3 separate regions of the Mus musculus genome follow, and all the other regions are reported to be linked to region 1. Evidence: microRNA targets listed by miRTarBase, many of them from high-throughput screens and not tested one by one. Region 1 holds a microRNA gene; each other region holds the end of a gene's coding sequence.
The links. Region 1 holds the annotated microRNA mmu-miR-3086-5p (UAGAUUGUAGGCCCAUUGGA, at 3,937-3,956, opposite strand). A microRNA usually pairs through its seed, bases 2 to 8, with sites in the 3' UTR of a target mRNA and lowers its output. Matches are read on the target gene's strand: a 7mer-m8 pairs with bases 2 to 8, a 7mer-A1 pairs with bases 2 to 7 and ends in A, and an 8mer does both.

Region 1 (7,200 bases):
TGACCACTGTGCTCACCAGCCGGGCTGCTCCAGGCACAGCCTTGACTGGGCTCTGGGTGGTCTAGCCTGTGGGAGGGTGCTTCCTCCATCAGTTCCTTCCAAGGCATCACCAGTTCCTAAGAGTCTGTCAGGTGCCCTGGGAGCTTGAGGACCCTTGTCCCTTTTTCAGCTAGATGCTTAGTAACCAACATTTTTTTAACAAAATCTCAAAGGTTCAGTTTTGCCAATAAAGACTCGGGACCCAGATGCTGGGGTGAACGCCTGCTAGCTCAGAGAGGCAGAGAGAGCACCCAGCCGACCTTCCTCCACAGCGGACACATTCTCAAAAGTCCTCTTCTCACATACCTGTCTTGAAAAATCTCTCAAATCAAATGTTCCGCCCTCCAACTTCCTGTGAGTGTCTCTGTCTGACCTCCTGACTTCCTCTTAGTCTGTATGTTTTTTTTTTCCTATGCTCACTTCCTGTCAACTGGTTGCTTGCTCTGCCTTTTGACCGATGGTTGACTTTATTTAAGCCTGTTCACAATAAACGGTTGACCACTTGGATTAAAGGCGTGGGTGCTAAGGACTGAACCGCACCGTAACTAGAAACAGATTTTTTACAGTAAATAACATAATCTCAGGGTTCATGGTGTGATCAGATATCCTGCAACACCAAATTCCTCCTTCTCCTTGTCTGGAACACCAAACACACTAAACACACCTGAATCCCAGCCTACCCTGGACTTGCTGGGAAGCTCTGCTCATTTCAGGATTTTCGGGGGAGACAGGACAGCAGGGGGAGGAAGCAGCTGTGGAAGCCTGCTGCACTTTCTCTTCCTGGGACAAAGATACATCTGATATAATGAGGGGTGGGGGTGGTAACCCACTCTCCTGTGGAATTAACAGTTGTGGATTATAAATTGTGTTCACCTCAAAGCAAGTTTGGATATATGTTCAGGAAACAAGAAATTGTCAAGAGTCCAGACATATTTAAAAAAAAAACAAAACCAAGACGGCTAGCCATCCCATGCAGGAGGTAGAGGCAGGAAGGTCGGGACTTAAATGGCAGCCTTGTCTACATAGAGAGGGTAGCATTGGCTATATGAGAATGGAGAAGAAGGAACTGATTGCTGCCAGAACTGAAAAGTGTGATGGTCAGACAGACCTCAGATAAGAGAATCGGTATTTGGAAAAACTGTGCAAATGAACTGACCATTAAAGAATAAAACTGCAAGATGTGAGGGGATGTCAGGAAGCAAGGGTGTGTAGACCAGGGGAAATGGCATGGCAGAGATGTGGCTAGAAACCTTCTAGAAGTTACCAAAGCTATCAAGCCCTAGGCCCAAAAATACAAGGTGAAGAACGAAATCCACACTTGGCCTATCCTACTGAAGCTGCTGAGCATCAGACACAGAGGACACTTTAACCGAGATCAGACAGAAAAGAAACGCCACCTTCTGAAGGCTTTTCTCTGCAAGTCTTCAGGAAGACTGCCAGACAGAAAGGAGAACAACACATGTGTATCAAGATGTTTGTGGGGGGCCGGGCAGTGGTGGTGCATACCTTTAATCCCAGCACTTGGGAGGCCGAGGCAGGCGGATTTCTGAGTTCAAGGTCAGCCTGGTCTACAGAGTGAGTTCCAGGACAGCCAGGACTACACAGAGAAACCCTGTCTTGAAAAACCAAAAAAAAAAAAAAAAAAAAAAGCTTGTGCCCGCATGTGACAGAATGCCTGGGAACAAGGTGGACTCTGAGTATTTGCATTTCAACATAAACGAGAAGAATTAAGCAATACTGAAAAAATAAATACCTCATATCTTCATATTAAAGTCTACAAGAAGCCAGAGCAGTGGAGAGAGTGTGTGTGCTGGTGTATGTGTGTGCTTGTGTGTGTGTATATGTGTATGCATGTATGTGTATATGTTTCCGTGTGTGCATGTGTGAATATGTATGGGTTTGTGTATGAATATGTGTGTATATGTGTGGTTTTGTGTGTATGTGTGTATTTGTATGTGATATGTACGTGTTTGTATGTGTATTTATGTGTGCATGTGTGTGTTTGTATGTATATGTGTATATATGTGTGTGTATGTGTGTACATGTGTACACGTGTTTCTGTGTGTGTATACATGAGTGCTTGTGTGTATGTTGCTGTGTGTATATGTGTATGTATGTGTTTGTGTGCCCATGTATGTGAATATGTGTATATGCCTGCCTGTGTATGTGTGCTTATGTGTATATGTGTGTGTGTTTATATGTGTGTGTGTGTGTGTGTGTGTTTAAAGAAATCCAAGAGTAGTGGGCAGTGACACACACCTGTAACCCTAGACTCAGGAGATGAAGGCTGAAGGATCAGGACTTTAAGGTTATCCTATGCTATACCATGACTTCAAGGACAGCCTGGGCAAAAAAAAAGAAAGAAAGAAAGAAAGAAAGAAAGAAAGAAAGAAAGAAAGAAAGAAAGAAGAAGACGGAGAAGAAGAAAAGAGAAGAGAAGAGAAGAAAGGAAAAGGAAAAAAAGAAAAGCTAAATATTTACAAAGTTAAGCATCCACCTCAGAATTTGAATAAAGCAAAATAAATGCAAAAGTTCTCCAGGTAGAGACCTTCACAAAATGCAAAATGGCTTCCTTTTTCCTTGCAGGGTTTCTGGTGTGGAAGGTCCACCCACCCACATTGCAGGCAGCTCAAACGCTGAGTTCCAATGGTATTTTGGGCACATGGCTATTTAATTAAAGTTAAACAATAGATTCTGCTTACTAAAGACAGGTACTGCTAGTTTTCCACTTATAGCAGTGAAATATGGCTTCCTTTTAAACTGTATTTGGGAAGAAGACAGAATTCAAAGGGAAATATGAAATAAATAATACTGTGGTTTTCTGTGGCAAAAGGTTATGTTTACACTGGAAGTCATAGTGCCTGTTGTTATGCAAATCAAAGAATTTATACACAACTCAAGATCAGGCTTTACAAATACAGCTTGTAGGGCATCTGAAGTCCTAGGTGCTTACTCAGAACTCAGTAAAGGTCGGTTATTATCAAGATCATAATTAGTAATAACTCTTTAATAATTAAAACGTAAGAAACGTAATTCAGATTATGGCTCTAAAAATAGCCCTGAGATAAATGACTAACCCCGTGGAGTGAGGTAGAGCAGGCTTCACAGCTACCTCTCCGTTCCCACACTTGGCCTCTTGCTGCCCTGGATGCCACACACACATCCCCACTCTCCATGTCCCTCACCTTCACCAGCACAAGCGCCTCAATGTAGACAAACACAGGGGGCGCAAGACTGACTGCCCGGGCTTACAAAGCTGCTTCCTCCCCCCACCCCCACCCCCAACGAAAGCCTCACTTAACACAGGGCAGGAAATGAATCCCCACCCCTATGGTCGATTTTGCAATGTCCTAGCTAAGCTAAAGGGCAGAGATTTGGAGACAAGGCATCCAGTCCCCAAGAACTAAGACACTCAGTCCAGCCCACCCTCTCCTCGGAGGACGAGCAGGATCCGGAAGCAACTGAAGGGGTAGTCGCCCTGTACAGCTTCAGCAGAATCGTATTTGGCCACCAGAAAAGTGTCAATCTGTCCATTCATGCCCTCCCCCTTAAAGATGATTAGCAGTGGTAAGTACTCAGGGCCTTCGCCATGAAGACGTTTTTATTTCATTTTCCCAGGATGTGTCTGCTCTTGGTGATTCTTCTAGAGTTCCTCCCAGGAAATCCCACCGAAGTGAAACCCACCAGAGGGGAATGCTTTTCCTGTTCCCAACCTCGGCTGACAGAACTGTTTGTCTGCAGCCGGCCACCAGGCGGAGCCCCAGCTTTCTCTATGGAGCCATTTATGTCTTTTTGCAAAACATCTCTGTGGGAGTCCCTACTTCTACCAGTCTGGCTGAGGGCTTCCGCCATCCCACACTTAGACTGTAGGCTCATTGGGGTCAAGACGCTAACCCTTCCAATGGGCCTACAATCTAAGTGTAGGATGGCAGTCCAAGACTCAGGCACTCAGGCGCCTCAGGTTCTCAACTATGTGTTATGACTGGACAGGCATGCAGCTCTCTCCCAGAACCTAAGAGGCCAACTGTGGTAAACGCATGGCTCTGAGTCAAAGGTGTTTTATCACAGCAATAGAAAATTAACTAATATTCCCTGTAACAAATGGAATCCTTCAGCTCCGGCTAGGAACTGGTTTTAGTGGCAGCTTCTGAGAGGACCAGAGGGACAGCTAGCTGTCACACTTGGAAGGTGGGAGGTCCTGCCCAGCTTCAAGACAGCATCTATTACGCTGAAACTCAAAAATTGGGCTGTCTCTTTGAACTGGAATTAAAGCCATATTGTGTCTCATACTATTGTCTTTGAATAAAATCTAATCCTCCTATGAACTGACCTTGACCCAGACAGCCATTTCCTTCCGCTTGAGTTCCTGCTTAGACGGCCTCATCCAGGACTAAGCTCTTCCACCTAGGCCATGATCAGGGGGGAGAGACATAGCTAGCTGGCCAGATGGTCATTGCTGGAACTCACTGAGCCCGTGCCATCATAGGGAGTCTGCTTGCCTCCTCCTACAGCCTGGCCGAGAAGCTCGCTTTACCCTCCTAGGTTCAAAGGCATCTTCCACTACTGAATATGGACTTGACAGGCAAAACTCAGGCAGGGGTCATCTCTGTGCCTCACTGCCCCCCAATGCAAACACACTGGAGCCAAATACTCAGCTCTCAGCTCACCTTCCAGTCTGGAGTGGTCCCCAAAAATCAGTTTCTGTCAATTTAATCCACTGGACAGTAGCTTTGAGAATTAGCTTGAATATTAAATATCCCATAGAAGGCAAGAGGTATGGATTCAGATTCTACCTTTCCACATCCAGCTGGGTGATGTGAGCAGACACACACACACACACGCACGCGCACACACATACATGCATACATGCACACACACACACACTTTGTTCCTCCGCCCTTACAAGGTTTGATTTAAAGGGAGAGGAACAAGAGGCCTCTGACACAGAACACATCAGTCTCTCGGCTGTGAGAAATGCTCACACTGTCCTGAGAGTGAGACTGAGCCCCTGGCCCACCCTGGCTCTGCACCTATGTGAACACTTGTGCTTTCCTGTGTCCTGACAATGGACTGCAAGTTTCACAAGGGAGTGGCATGGTGGTCTGAATGCTTGCCTGGAGCACGGTCCCAGAACCAGCTTGCAGATGAGTTCTCTCCTTCCTTTCAGAAAGACGTGAGGACGTCCTAGAACCTGAACCACATGCTACTTGGGATCTACATCTCCTGGGAGATACAACAATGGCATGGGAAGATCTTTCATTGCTCTGGTTCGGTTCCCTCTGGGGTGTCCGTTAGGAACTCTGCTTCCTGATACAGCTCCTTCCACACACCCACCATAGGGAGGGATTAAATAGAAACCTGCTTCTCCCAGAAAATGACACACAGGAAAGCTGGCCCTGGCTTCAGTGCTAGCCAAGTGCATTTTCCCCAGTGACGAGGTGGCCTTAAGAGAGAGAGAGAGACAAAAGCTTTCTGTGGTGGCCTCAGCCTTCCTACCCACTCACCCCAGTTCTGAGAGCTGACAGCCAGCTGCTTTCCTAGACTTGTGGGACAACTCAGAGACTTCACCGTCACCGTCACCAAGGCTGTCGCCAAACCATCACAAATGGATTAGGTGTAGTGGGCTCTTCTGTCTCAGTCAGTGCCAAAGCCCCACTGAGTCCAGGGAACACAGTCTCAGCTTGGCATGAAGCCCTGGCAACCCTTATGTGGGGACTCTTTCTGGCTTTATGAAAAGCCTCCAGTGCTCATAGGTACCTGGGAACATTCCGAATTCTCTCCTTTTTTCATTTGGATGCCAACAGTTACCCTGAGGTGCCTTGCGCTCTGTCTCCCAGATAGATTCTCTCTCAGCCGGAGAAAATGGGGCAATTTCAGAGCAAGTCTCGTTGGTGACCCTGGGTTCTCTGGGCTCCATGACGCTGCCACCTTACAGGTCTCTGATCCGTGTCAGTATTTTCTCCATCCGAAAGGAAGCTCTCATCAACAGTCTTTCTAAATGCAAACAGCAAAGGTGGCATCCAAAGACAGCACCCTTACAATCTCCCACACTCAACTGCCTATGCGGGGCTGGGCGAGATGCGAGGCAGAAGACAAGCATGCCGCCGAGGACGCGACCCGCCTGCAATCTGTTTTGACTTTTTCTCTCTGTTGCAGAAGCCTATGATTCGCAGTTAAATTTGACCAAATAAACAAGCTCCATTTTCAGGTTCTGCAAAACCTACAATTCTGGGAAGGCTGATGTGGTTGACACTAAATTGATTTCAACGCATCCCATTTCTGGTCTAATGCTGGGCTCCTTTGAGCAAGAACAAACGTCCTCATGACGGCTTCACTCTACCTGAATAGGCTCAGTATAAACACACAGGAAGCACAGGCGTCCAGATTAATTTTCCTTTTTTTTTTTTTTTTTTTAAGAGAAGAAAATATGGGGTGTTTTACTTTTCAAAGATTAATTTCCCACAGAGTTTTACAAAACGCCAGGGTAAGGCTTTCACATGTTAAACAGTCATCCTGCACCCGGAAAGCTCAGGAGGTGGTAGTTTTGTTTTGTTTGCTTCCCTTTTCCCATTCTTTTGTGTGTACTTGGGGAGACTCAGGTTGACATTGGGAGTCATCCTTGATCATTATTCTACCTTATCCATTGAGATGGGGGTCTCTCCACCAGACCCAGACCTCTCCAATATGGCTAGTCTACTCGCCAGCTTGCTCAAGAAATCCAATCTTTGCCTTCTGAGACTAGACTTAAGGAAAGCTGCTACACCCACCTCCCCAGCATGTGCCTGAGTTCCAACGATCTGAACCCTCAGCCCTACTCTTGCTCACCAGCTGGCTTTACCTTCTGAACCCCAACCCCTGGCCCAGGCCCAGCCCAGGCCCAGCCTCAGCCCCTGCTCCTGTCCCAACCCCTGCCCCAGCTCCAACCCTGCCTCAGCTCCAACCCAGCCCCTGCTCCTGCCCCAGCCCCAGCCCAACCCCTGCCCCTGCCCCTGCCCCTGCCCCTGCCCCAGCTCCAGCTCCAACCCAGCCCCTGCTCCTGCCCCAACCCCTGCCCCGGCTCCAGCTCCAACCCAGCCCCTGCTCCTGCCCCTGCCCCAGCCCCAGCCCCAGCCCCAGCCTGAGCCCCAGTGCATCCATTTTACCCCCAACAACTGTCAGAAA
Region 2 (7,200 bases), not on the chromosome of region 1:
ACCGCCAGCTGTGCTGTCAGCTGAAAGAGGAGATTACACTAAAATGACGCTCCCCTGCCTTTAGGGGCAAGCGGCGAGCCTTTGACAGCTCTCTTACCAATGGCTCTATTTTCCACCTGTTGACTGGTGAAGTTGTGTGGTGGAGTTGCTGGCTCCTGTGCTCTCATCCTTTGCCCACCCCCCCTCCACCCCCCTGCATGATAACTCCCTCCGAAACCTGCCAGCTGCGATCTCTCTACATTTTCATTTCCCCATCCAACCTGAAATATTTACCTGAAGGCTTATCCATGTCTGGCCTTCTGGAGCAGAGTGTTTATGCATTAGAGTCTGCTGCATCTTAAGGTCCGTAAGGAAGGTGATAAATGTCCTAACTCTTCACAGTCCTTAGCATGATAGCAAACCCCCAGATAGACACTCACAAAGCACCGACTGGCTGATTGGTTGCCTTGCTGTTTGCGTGAATTGCTGATAGCCTGGGACTTCTGTCTTCTTTGCTTTAGGTATGTGGACAGCCAGCGTCATACCATCCAGGGAGACTATATAGACACCATGGAAGAGATTGCAGATTTAGTGGGTGTCAGGCCCAATATCCTGCCTCTGGTCTTCACTGACCCCAGGCTGGCATTACGGTTACTACTGGGGCCCTGTACTCCAGTCCAGTATCGCCTACAGGGCCCTGGAAAGTGGGCTGGAGCCCGGAAAACTATTCTCACCACGGAAGATCGTGTTCGGAAGCCTCTGATGACAAGAGTGGTGGAAAGAGACAGCTCTGGGGGGTCACTGGTGACAGTGCGTGTCCTCATGCTGGCTGTTGCTTTCTTTGCTGTCATCCTGGCTTATTTTTAGATGTGGCAGCGCAGTACTTGAGCTGCCACCGGAAAACGCCATCTAGCCACACCTTCAGAACCTGATGAGACTGAACACAGCTTCATACTGCACAGGAATCAATCACAATCTCTCTCTCTCTCTCTCTCTCTCTCTCTCTCTCTCTCTCTCTCTCTCTCCCTCTCCCTCTCCCTCCCTCACTTTCTCTCTCTCTCTTCTCCCTTCCTCCCCCTCTCTCTCCTCCCTCAATCATTAATCCTTCTTGGTTTTATTTCTGTGATATTGGGTTTTCACTAATTGATTCATCTCCCTCCCTCGTGAGCCTTTTGTCTCTCCCTCTAGTCATTCCCAGACCGTGAGCTCAGGCCCCCTTCATCATCTTTGTATGTCATTAGCAGGGTTCTTTTAATGCTTGACTCTGTTGTGTTTCTAGCACTGCACAGCTAGACCTCGCTGGATGATAACCCATCTTGAAAAGACTGCTTCCATTATCAAGCGCATATTGGCAGCACTTGACCTTATAAGCAGAGCCCACATATCTATTTCAGGAATTCCCACAGAGGGCAGTCCAGAAAGAAGAGCCACTTAGTGCTGAAGACTGGGAGTCCAAAATCCAGGGTGCAGACAGTGAGGCATTCCTGTCTTCATGATTAATACAGTGAGGGTATCACATGGGCAAAACAGAAAATAGCTAAGTTCCGGCATGTGGCACATGCTGAATAAATGCTCGTTGATATGTATGAAATAAGGTGTTATCTCTAAGTCAATCTAATAAATGGCTAACTCTATAGAACTCTTAATGTGATCCATTATCAATTTTAATAACATTAATTTTATAAATTATTTTTATAAATTAACTAGTTATTAATTTTAGTAACTGAATATACCTGTCTTTCAGATGGGTGGTGGGCATTTAAACTCAGGTCCACTTGCCTTCACAGCAAGTGCTCTTATTCACCAAGCCATCTTCCTACCTCCTGCTTTTATATTCTTAAAAAAGAAACTACTGACTGAACATAGTGGCACATACCTGTAATTCCAGAACTTGGGAGTTCCTGGCAAAGGATCACCACAAGTTCAAGGCCAGCCTAGTTCCCAGAGTGAGTTCCAAGCCAGCCAGGTTTGCATAGCAAGAACTTGGCTCAAGCAACAACAAAATATACAAAATCAGAAAAGGATTTGCTCTTCTAAGTTTGAAAGTCTTTTAAATAATTTGCCGTCTTCCAATAGGTTGATTAAAGAACCTGAGGCTTTTAGTTAGCTATCCTGGCTTAATCTTGAAGGGCTAGTGTTAGGATCCAGCTGAGGCAGTAAGCAAGTGCTAGCACTGGAGGTGGGGTCAGCAAGTGTGATTATTCCCTCCCCCTGCCCCGCCCAGCATTGAGGTGGGGTCAGCAAGTGTGAGTCTCCCCCTGCCCAGCTCCCTCCTTCCTTCAGAGTCTACATAATAAGAATCAGTAAGCTCTTCCACGTCTTAAGTTAGAACTAGTATTAGTATTAACTAGGGGCATTCTGCCTAGACCAGTTCTTCCTGTGTGTAGTTCAGAAAGGCAGGAGTGGAACTGAAATGCAAGATTTAAGAAGCATTGGCTGTCAGAAGCACTTGAACTCCCTAAGGATAATTTGACCCGCTGCAGGAATGGCATGAGAATAACACAAATACATGTAAGCAGATACGTGAGAATTCAAACTCCTAATTATACACGGATTTGAACAGCTGCCTAATATTTTACCCAGTGTACTCTCTGTGAACTTGAGCACTGAGCCCTGGTTGGGTTTCTAGGGCCCTTTTCCTTCCGAAATCCTTTAGCAACTGAATGTTTGTCATTATTAAAATGGGTCTGGGATTTTTTTTTAATCTGAAGATTGCTTTCGTTCAAAAATAAACGGAAGCTCTGCATCTTAACTTTTCTTCTTTTACAATGTAAAGGTCCTCTCATTGAGCTTGTAAAGATATTGAAGCACTACACTGCCAAGAATGTAATCTCTACTTATGGGCACTAATACCACAGGCTTCTTTCAAAGCCTGTACTTTTAAGTAGCTTCAACTCTCTCGTTCTGCTTAGAATATGCAAAACTACAAAAGCATCATTGATTTCTAAACCAAGCTGAAGGTAAGGCTAGGATAGGACCTTGAACTTAAAACAACTGAAGATACAAAGAGTAGTTACTGATCGATACTGATCGATGATCGTGTGCTGATTCACCAATTCATGCACTTTGCTCTTCTGGCCATATTAAAAGATTACGTCACTTACCCAACTATGATAAATCTGATGATCCAAAAGATGTATTCTTGCAATGCAAAGAATAAAGAAATGGCCCAAATGGACTGACTAGCTCATGTCAAAGGGGTATAGAAATCATTTCAAAGTGGCCCCAGTGGCCAAATTTGAAATAAATGTCGAGCAATAAATAACCTAGTATTGGATTATAACCTGAAACACAAAGATACCTGAGTCCATGCCATTATAGGTAAATGATTGGAAACATTATCAGAATGGAATAAGTAAAGCCCCCACACAGAATTCTAAATATTTTAGTTCTTGCCCCTCAAGGAAATGAAGCAAAGCTCTCTCAGATGTACTGCATAGATTAACTTCCTTTAGAAATCTAGTGTGGGAAGGGGTGAGGGATAACTGCAGAGGAGAAGTCAGACAGACTACCTCAGTCAGATGCCCACATCAATACAAGCATTGGCAATCACTGGTAGTTGTATGCATGAGATGACCTCTGTGGTGTTTTTCCTTCAGATGATAGCCCAGGCTAGGCAGGAGAAAAGTACCATGCAGGCAGCCTCAGGATGATCTACGAATACCTTACTCCCCTGGAACTGTTGAAGTCATCAAAAGCCAGTCTGAGAGAGAGAGAGCTTCCTAGCATACAGGAGCCTTGAGGAAGTATCCATGGTGAGAATTCAAGAAGAGAAAAAGAGATACTAAGTAAAAATTGAAGAACTAGTAACAATTGTGTACTCTGGGTAAAGAATGATGTGTCAATATTGGTGTTAAACTAATAAATGCACCACCATGACATGTTCTCAGGAGGAAAACAAGCACGCAGAACCTCTCTGTCGTCTTTGCAACTTAAGTCTAAAACCGGTGCACAAGATTTTTGTTTGTTTGAGTTGTTTTAAGTTCAGAGTTTGACCTGAATTACAGTGTACTAAAAACTTCTCAGACGAATGTTGGATAGTCGAAGATGGCTCGCTCTTGCAGAGGACCTGGGTTTGGTTCCCAGAATCCATATAGTGCGTCACAACTGTCTGTAACTCCACTTCTAGGGTATCTGTCTCCCTCTTCTGGCCATCGTGAGCACTGCATGTGTGTGGTGCACATGCATGCATGCAACAGCACTCTTTAACAGATAAAATAAATATTTTTTTAAAAAAAGAATATAGGCTGGGACCATTTGTTTAAATGACTGTTTCTTCAATTGTGCTCAGATTACATCGCTCTAATAAACCATAATATAACTTACGACAACAGTTTTGTTTCCTGTGATAGATAAGCATAAATTACAATTGGGGGCTTTGGTGGTATAAGGTTAAGACTTCTTGAAATCACTTAGATAAGTTGCTCCTGAAGGCTGAGCACATTAAACCAGTAGTCCCCAGCAGGAAGATGGACATGATGGACAGGTTATACCTAAGCAAGGTAATTGTATTTACTATTAGTCTGTCTTGCCTAACAGCATGGTGGAAACAAACCCACTCCAGACTTTTGACCTGGAACTCCCAAGGCATCATGCACTTTTCTCTGCTGTAGTGTTTTTAATAAATTCCCACTTTCCAGTTGAATAATGCCCACGAGTCTTCAAGATCCAGCTCCTCTCCTATCCCCCCACCCCCACCCTCCCAAGAACAGCTTCCTGACCCCAATGTGACCTCTGTACTCTCCTCTCATCTGGTAGATTCTGGTAGATTCGATTCCTCAGTCACTTTTTTTTCCCCAGACAGGTTTTTTTCTGTGTAGCCTGGCTGTCCTGGAACTCACTCTGAAGACTCAGAGATCCACTTGTCGCTGCCTCTTGGAGTGCTGGGATTAAAGACATGTACCAACCAGCGCCCAGCCCTCACTCGCATTTGATGGATGTCCTTATCACATGACACAAAGACAGATTCCTTTGCCTCATCGCTCTCTGAGTTAGTAACTAAGACAGATGCCTTGCAATTAATCTGTATTCCCAGTGCCCAGTGTAGTGCCTGGAGCATGGTGGGGCCTCAGTACATTGATGATAATTAATTGAATGAACATACTTAACAAGAGAGGTAAAAAGCATGAATACGTTTTTAAAGGATTAAATTGAATAGTGAACATCACTCTCCTAAAAGGAGATTAAAGAGTGCTTAGTAATAGCGCTTAGAACCAACTTGGTGGCCGACTGTTTTTGCAGAAAACTTTCCCGAGTAGACCACTGATGTGAATCTGAGGGCTAAAGCACTGTATGGTTTGAAACAGGTGTTGGTATACAACGTATTTCTTCAATCAAGCAGGTTTTAAAAAGTCAAGATCTTAAAACAGAAAACAGGACTTATCTCCTCCTCGATTCTCACCATGCACGAACGCCTGCTGCTGTGTCTTCTTGCTTCTCCAGCTCTCCAGCCCCTCTGAAGCACCCACTACCTCTCCTGGCTGTAGCTATTTATAGACCCGTTTATTCCCCTTCACTCAGTGAAGACCTTAGCACCTAACTCAATGCTGTGTCTATAGACACAGTCATTCCTGAAGGTGATGTTAATATCTATGCAATTAGTACTCCATCAATCCAATGGATTAATTAAGTAGGATGAGGTTCAGCTATATTTAATAGAAAAGTGATAGTCAACAGTGGTCTAACAAGACTGATATTTCTTTCCCCTTCATATAAAAAGTCTAAAATATATCATTTATGAGATGATTCCATAGCTGCATGGTTCCTTTTCCATTCTTTTCTTTTTGTGGGGGAGATGGGTGAGACAGGGTCTCACTATGTAGTTCTGGCTGTCCTGAAACTGGTTCTGTAGAGCAGGCTGACCTTGAACTCACAGAGATCTGCCTGCCTCTGCCTCTCAAGTCCTGGGATTAAAGATGTGCCACCATGCCCGGCTCAGTTCCCTTTTTTTATTCCACTGCTTTTAACTACCTCGTGATCTGAAGTGGCTGCTGGAGCTCTGGCCATTCTATGGACACCCTATACACAAAGAAAGAGAAACGGAGAAATTCTACTTACCATTTCCCCCTATCTATCTATTAGGGAGGCTAAGAAATGCATCTCTGTGGAGACAGACAACATCCTAAGGTTAGAGTCAGTGCTTCAGTAAAGAGGAAGGAAATCAATGTTAAGGTAGACCTCCAACTCTCTTTGCTACCTCACTGTTCCTTTTGAGTAATTACTTTCATTGTTTAAAATGTTAATCTATGTTTGAGTGTTTTGCCTACATGTTTGTATGTGCACCTGAAGGTGTTGTAGCGCCTGGAACAGATGATTATGAGCCACCTTGTAGGTGCTGGGACCAAACCCGGGTCCTCTAAAAGAACAGTAAGGGCTCTTAACCACTGAACCATCTCATCAGGGTTTATGACTTCTAATGGCTTTATGGTCGGCCTCATCTCACCGATCTACACACTTGTCTAAGATTCTGCCAGTGCTAATGACTGCAAGACCACTGAAACCTCAGTGGCAGACACGCTACTCTCACAGGACACCTCTCACTGTCTCAGCTCACTCAGTCTCTCCTGTGTCCAGAGTTCTTTGACCCCACTGGGCCCTCCATCAGCCTATTTTATCTTCACTTCCAGCCGACTGGTTTCAAAACGCTAGTCCAATAGTATATTCCCAGCCTACCTGTGCTCTCACTCATTAGCTGTTTGCATTAATCCACACAGCTAATCACAGTAACAGAAAACACCGCTTTGATGAGTTTGGGCATCACATAGAAGTAAGTCTTCTGCAGTAACTGCCATCACGTGTCTAGTCAATTCTCTGTCCTACTTTTTATTTCATGCCTCCTGGGACAACTAAAAAGGTTGCTTGGTAGAGGCGTACGCGGAATATGAAAATGTGGATCCACTATGCACCGCTGTCCAGTCGTTTGAGGTGATCCTGTTAAAAGTGCAGATTCTAATTCTGTACCTAGGGCACGGGGAGGCCTCGGATTCGGCTTTTCTAATAACCGCGTGCCCCATGGATAGACAAACTGCTTAGGAAGACAAGACGCCCCACTATCAAGCCCTGGGCGGACAGTTCACAGCCCTAATCCCGACCCGGACCCCACCCTCGGCCCCGCCCCAAGCCGGAGCTGCGCACGCACCCACCACAGAGGCGGTGCTGGTGGCTAGAGAGGCAGGCGACCCAGGCTGAGGAGGGGGCGGGGCTGGAGCGCAGGGGGCGGAA
Region 3 (7,200 bases), not on the chromosome of region 1:
AAGAAGATATGGGGCACCAACAAGCAAAGTAAATAGAAAATGAGCAAATAAAGGAACATTGGAAAACATTGATTAAAACAATGTAAAGAAAGTGTGAGGGTAGAGAGATTACAGTTATGGCAAACTTCTCAGAAGAGGTGGTGTATGACTGGAGACCTGCAGGAAGCAAGGAGCTGCTTCACTTTAGTGAAGAGTTCTAGGGAAAGGTGGTAAGGGGTGGAGCATCTGAGAATAGTGGGTTTTAATAGCCTGTGTAGTACTATGCTCCAGAGTGAGCACGTCAGAAAAGCAAGTGAGCTATATAGGAAGTATGCAGCACACAGAACGTGGAGCCAGCCTCTTAGGTTTGTTTTCTATGGACAGACACAGGCTTAGGCTGTGAAGGAAGAAGAGCTGTCCTGATTACCCATTCTCTGCCAGTGCCCTGTTAACTGACCAAATACAAAGAGGACTAGGGACCATGGCAGTCATCTGGTCGCAGCTGGCTCAACAGCTGAAGTTTAAAGAGAAATCTGAACTTCCCAGACTTTCTGTATTGGAATTGCAAACAGTAAACAAAAATATAATCATGAAAGGTAGGATGTGGATACTCACCAAGTAAGTGTTTTTATCCATGTGCAAGAAGTAAGTGTTACAAATAAAGCACAGAGCCACACACAGTTAGAATGAAAATGACTTCTGGATTTATGTCTGTCAGCAATATAGATATTTACAAATAACCCATATGAAAATGTAGAAAAGCACATTACATCTCCACACGCCATCCACATTAGCTGCATAAGCTTAGTGACAGTATTTGCCAATCTGCAGTCCCTCGTACATAGATATTTTGTGCATTAAAAAAGAAGTATGCATAATTTAAAATAAATTACATTACACAATTTACAAAGTAATATTAACAAAAGATTCACAGATAGCTAGCTCCTTACTCCAACAAAATAAATATTCAGGAAGATAAATTAATAAAAGTACTCACTTAGAGCAATATAATGTAAAGAATAATAGATTATAAATTTGATAAAATTAAATTTTACAATTGTACATACTGATATCTTCAAATTTCTGTGAATAAAAATGGGAGGAAAAAGTACCAGAAAGCAAATCGAAGTGTTTAATTAAAAAAAATAAACACAAACAGATTGTAAAAAAAAAATATCCAGAGACCTTATTGAGGCTTAAATTTAGATAAAATATAAATTATTACCTATAGAAAGAAAAGGAACCCAAAACAACTACAAAACAAAACAATAAAACTTATAGCCATTTACAGTGTAAGGAAAGTAGGTTTTTGCCGACAGGCAAGGTTGCTTGCTTCAGACATTTCCAGGTTTATGATCTTTCTTGACAGAGCAGAATAAAAAAAAATGCAAATTTAACATTATTTAACATTTTTTTCATTTAATCTTGTAGATAACCACTTCCCACTGTCTCTCTTAAAAAGAACGATTTTCATCACACTGCAAAATATCTTGTTGATTAAAAAAAATACCCAAGCAAGCAAGCAAACAATAATAAAACAAAGAAGAAACCACTTGCTGGATCCACACCTCCTTGTGTACATTAGCCAGAACATCTTAAGGAAGGACCGGGGGTGGGGTGGGGGATTATCACATAAGGAACAGGGAGATTCCGTTCTCAAGCCCAAAGAGACTCAGAGGGCTCAGGTATGTTCTGCAGGAGTTCTTACAGACTTGTTGAGGGGCTCCTGGTCTGCCTCCTCCTTAGTCCTACAAGGGGAACTGGACAAAGGACATTTGAACTAGGAGACACTTACAAACAACAAGATTCCAGGACATTTGGCATGCATGATTTTGCAAATCTATTCTGACTCTAAGTCTCCCTAGAAATAGATTCTCCTTTCTGCTCACTAGTGATAGATACAGGCTTTTGTGCTGATATGTAAGCAGGGGCAGGGAGGGGGCACAGGAGGGCGGGGAGGAGGCATGGGACGTGGAACAGTTGGAGGGTGGACCCGGAGGGGAATAAACTCTGGAGTTTAAAAAAAGAGAAAAAATAGTAAAAGAAGAAAAAACAAAAAAGAAAGAAAGTAGGGGAATAAGAGGATATTGGCTATTAACAATGTAAGTTTAAGATTTGACATTTTCATAGCAAGGATTTTAGTTTTAGTCTTCCTTTGACATGTCATGTGCATGACTTTTTTTATTCTTTAGTCATTACTTTGACAAGTGTATCCCATTTAAATAAAAATAGTTACATTATAACTGATAGTTTTATTTCAATAGGAATAATTATAGTTTACAGTGATAGAACCTGATTTCCTCAAATCTGTGAAGAAAAATGGGTAGGAAAAAGTACCAGAAAGAGAGTCAAAATGTTTACTTTTAAAAATAAACACAAACAAATGATAGAAAAGTAGCCAGCAAGCTTACTGAGGCTCAGAATTTGATAAAACACAAATTATTACCCATAGAAAGAAAAGCCAGCTAAACAACTACAAAACAGAACGATAAGACTTATAGCCAGTTACAGTAGTTAAAGTAGGGTTTTGCCATTGGCAAGGTTGCTTGATTTAGATATTTTCAGGTTTATTGTCTGACTAGACCATAATAACATAATATTATGAGTTAATAATTATACTGCACTTTGCCTTCTAAATTTTTGAGCATGTTTAGAGAAAGGTGGTTTGGAGCAAGGCAGACAAGGCTATAAACAATCAGAATAGAATTTGAGAGGCTAGGCAGAGAAAAGTGTCACCCAGGACCAAGGATACAGTAAGCTGGAGGAGGTGAACCAATGTGTGGGAAAAGCTGCTCTCTTCCTTTATAAGCAATGGCTTTATCTTGAAATATTCAGGAACCTAACAGTTCTTATTAAGCCACAGTAAGCATTGCTACTCTTCATAGCATATCCTGACACTTAGAGTCCCTGTGGAAAAGTTCTAAGCACACTTATAAAGAATCTATAGTGATGTGTACCAGTGCGAGGAGCTCTCATGAAGCATGCTTCTTTTCTTTTGGATGTCTTAGTGACCTGTGTATACAAAAGCCGTTACTATTTTAAGTGCCCTGAAAAGTGTCTTACATGTAAAATGTAATAAATATGCCTTTTTATAAGTGATCTGTGCTTTATTACATAGTTAAAAGACATGCTTTAACATACTCCTTTTTCAATTAGCTTAAGCTACATTCAAAAGAATGTAGGTTTCGAAATAGAGCTTCTTATAGTCAGCATATTGGATGGACACTGATGTACAGGCAAATCGGTTGCTTTCCAGGGAGATCAGCCATGCTACTTTTCCTGGGACAATCCAACAAAATTCTATAAACGTCTGCTTTCATTCATTCTTTTTCAAATCAAGTAGGACATCTTCCTTCCTTCCTTTCTTTCTTCCTTCCTTTCTTCCTTCCTTCATCCATTTGTTCCTTGTCTCTCTCCTTTCCCTCACTCCCTGCCTCCTTCTTTTCTTCCTGCTCACACACAGATTTGGAAAGGAAAAGGGACATCAAACAGGTTTCCAGCATTTCCCTTCTGAGAATAAAGTTCTGGGGAAATCAATAAAGGAATCTGTACGTGAAAACAATAACCTCCCATTTGTCCTAATTATCCAAATGAATACATTCTTTTCCCCACCTTTCTAACAATAGGCCACACAGTATTAATTTATCCTAATGATGAATATCAAAAGTGTTTATCCAACATGAATATAGTATTTAAATATAATTAGTTTTTCATAAACATTTTCCACCTTCACAACATTTTTTAATTTTTGATTTTTAATTGATTTGGTTACCATATCCTAAGTAGGAGAACATTAATTTTTTTTATAATTAATCACATTTTATCAAATACCTTAAGTGTAGTTTGGGGTAAGAAAAAATATCCTATTTTATTTCCTATCTCAAGATTGCTAAGTTTTGCCCACACTTCATCAGATTGTTAAAATTTTTCAGCTACCCACAGAGATTGTGATTTAACTATTTTGGACAGACTGAGCTTATTTTATTCAAAGAGCTCAACTCAAAGATTATTTGGAAGAGTGATTGTGTGTGTGTGTGTGTGTGTGTGTGTGTGTGTGTACTATTACAGTTTCAGAATATCAATATTATTTTTCCTTCCTCTTTAATGCTTTCCCTTAGTTAAATTCTTGGCTATCCACTCTCTTTGAAATGACGTAATCATTTAGTGCATTATATCTGGCATGAGTAAGAAGCATTCACCACATTGTGTTCATATTGAATTATATATAAAGATTTTTCAGTTGGGAGATGACAACATCCTCTTATTCAGAATTCGTTTCTAATCTGGGCAGAAAAAGCTGTTCTAATGGACAGCAGAGGGAGCTCAAACACAGCTGGTAAAGGCAAAACACCTCATCAACAAAACCACAGTTCCAGCCATACAGACATGTTTCAGATAAAAAATAAAACAATAAAATGAAATAAATAAAAGTCATGTGTTTACCGTGTTTAAAAAACTGAAAAGCAAAAGGGTCCCCATTCTATCAGAGGCTAACTGTAGCATTTCTGTTAGTGACAGAAGTATGTGAGTGCTTTTTCATGACACAGGTTAGCTTTCTTTTTCACAAGAAAGAGGTGAGCTATATTCCGTGGTGGCATTTCCTGTGTTTCACCAGTGAACACAGAGTTGATTTCCCAACAATCATAAGTTAATGACTATGAATTGACACCTGTGAAATTAAGCACACTTGATAGACAGAGAGTAATTGACTGGAAGCTAATGATAATATAATGTAGGGCTAGCTCTAAAGCCACATAAGGCATAAAGCCATAGAAGGCAGCTCAGGAAACTGAGACACGCAAATGTGGCTGGCTGGCTTCTCGTGGGAGGAAAGTTCTGTCAGAAAATGGTGTCACCCAGCTGACTTCTCCGGAAGCACCACACAGTGCCAGTGTTCTGAGCTGAACTAAAGACCTGACTGAAAACATTTCCTGTTTGCTCTTTTGCTTTAAAGGCTTATGCCCCTTGCTCTAGATGTTTAAGCAAGCCCTGGACAAGATTATTTATCCTTCTCTTCTTAAATTTTATATCTTAATAAATCACGCTAATTCAGATTTCAACCATGAAAAGGGCAAAAGACCATGACTATGAAATACAGCCTGTAAGACTGAAAAACAAATCAGGAAGACAGGAAAGCTAACAAATAATTTTGATTTCTTTTTGTTAGAAAAATCATTGATACACTATTTTCTCTATCTACTCAAAATTATGAAGACAACCAGTCCTTTTTTCTTTGCTTTTCTTCTTCTTCTTCTTTTTTTAAAAACAAAGATAACAAATATATAAATCTTGTCATAAACAGCCTTCCAAGAGCAACTGCAACCCAACCAAGGGGTTCTACATTTTGGAGGTTTGGGTTGGGTTTAGGGACTTCAACACTTGAATTATTGCCATATCGTCAATTTCATGATGACTATAGCAAGAAGGAAGAGTGTAGACAGCAGGTGTAATAGTAGATTTGATCCTGTTACCATCAAGACTGAACTAATTCTCTTCAGTGGACAAAAGCTTGCAAATGTCTCCACAGCACTCTTGGCACAGATGTCTTCATCATCCCATATGAAAAGAGGCAGTTTCTATGGCAACACTGGTTAAGTGCCTATCTTGCTGCACTAATATAGTGCAAAATGTGCCTTCCATATAGCAAAAAAGATGTAGGCAACCAGTGTGAAATTAGGGAAAGTAGAAAGGTATTAACACTAGCATATTTGTTTCCCAGACAATAACCACTATAAAATACCGAACTTGAGGACCCCTTCTTCTAAGGCTAGTACATGTCCAGCATTCACACATTAGAGAGAGACAAGGGTAAAGTCTTATAAAAGAGTTTGTCTCTAAAATGCAGGCCAATCAATGCTACCATCAACCATGAAGACGCTAAGTTGTTCAATGGATTTTCCACTTGGCATAGGCCTTACATCTTCTTCACTGTTAAAAGTTGCTTATTAACAAGTATATAAGGTGACATCATGTAAGTCATTTGATCGAGTATACACGTTGGCATGGTTAAGTGTAGAATTGTAAAGCCTTCAGTATGAACTCTTCATGCTAAAAAGTTCGGTGGGTTAGTGCTGCAAGCAGTCTTGCATCTGGCTTCCCAGTTGGCCAATCTCCTCACTATGTTTTAGAGATCAAAGTGGGTTTTTGTTTTTTCTTTTTGAAAAAATTGGGTAGATTTCAGAAAAGATGCCACAAAACTCTCAGGACACAGCATGCACTTCACTGCATCTCTTAGAATTCTCAGAGCTGACTCTACGTTTCAGTGCTATTGTCTTGAATATTCCTAGAGGGAGTAGGATTTTCTCCTTTTTCTTAATGATGGTGTTCATAACAGTTAAAGTTAATTATAACTCACACATTTGAATACTGGCACTCTGGCCTCTGGATGTCTACTATAAAGGGAAAAGGCCAAGTCTGGTTGTGTCCAGGAAAAGTCAATGTTACATATCAGCGTCTCCATCGTATGCTAAGGTTAAAGGTTTGAGGCGGTTGTTCTGCCGTCTTTGGGGTTTCTTTGGCTTTTTGCTGTAAGAAATTTAGAAAAAATTGAAAAAAAAAAGGTCAATCTTTCGTTTTAAATATTATTGTTTTAAATAAAAAAGCAAAACAAAATAGTAGATCTAAATTGTCCACCTACACTTCCCAGTGCCTTTTAGAATATGACCTAATGGTCTCTTTCAGTTTCACAGTTCCAAGATGTCTTAAGATACTTAACTATTTTATAAAAGCCAAATTATCCAATTTCTTAGTTGATACAATCGAAGTGATGTTATATTATATTTTGGGTTTGTCTCAGAACTTTTATAAATAATACACATTTACAAATACAGTGAAATAAGATTAAGAATTATAACATTTTTCTCTAAGAAAAAGTTTATGGCTTTAATATGCCATCAATGAAAGCAACATTCCATGGCATTTCTTCATGAGAAAAATCTTGAAAAAATTGACCCAGAACAGTCCTGACTTACTTCCATAATCCGACTGACTTAGATATGGTAGTAGATTTAGGCTTTCTAATATTAAAGTTTATTTTGTAAATTGAGAACTTTGTGTTAAGATGGAGTATATGTAACACATGTGTGTCACACACTACTTTGTTTCTGTGTTACTGGCAACTGAGAGAATTTTCTTGTAAGTAACTATCTTACATCTCCCTTTAGATTCTGAAATATTTAAACACTCACCACGCTAGATAAATCATGGAGACAATGAAGACTA

Region 2: the mRNA of Fmo5 is a reported target of mmu-miR-3086-5p. Seed matches in the 3' UTR shown: 7mer-m8 at 951-957 and 7mer-A1 at 1,590-1,596.
Region 3: miRTarBase lists Thsd7a as a target of mmu-miR-3086-5p. Seed matches in the 3' UTR shown: 7mer-m8 at 3,922-3,928, 7mer-m8 at 3,892-3,898 and 7mer-m8 at 1,137-1,143.

What each region holds. Positions count from the first base shown.
Region 1 is chr19:58,907,789-58,914,988 of GRCm38, forward strand. Mir3086 (microRNA 3086) reads right to left here and starts at 3,971; the gene lies at 3,885-3,971. It also overlaps a transcript of Hspa12a not described here.
Region 2 is chr3:97,650,982-97,658,181 of GRCm38, forward strand. It overlaps Fmo5 (flavin containing monooxygenase 5), which reads left to right. Exons shown (of 9, transcript NM_001161763.1): 9 at 501-4,306. The coding sequence ends at 846. Among named protein-coding and RNA genes, the nearest start is that of Prkab2, 3.6 kb to the right of the region's middle.
Region 3 is chr6:12,310,948-12,318,147 of GRCm38, forward strand. Thsd7a (thrombospondin, type I, domain containing 7A) reads right to left here. Exons shown (of 28, transcript NM_001164805.1): 27 at 7,167-7,200; 28 at 661-6,504. The coding sequence ends at 6,420. Among named protein-coding and RNA genes, the nearest start is that of Gm38583, 120 kb to the right of the region's middle.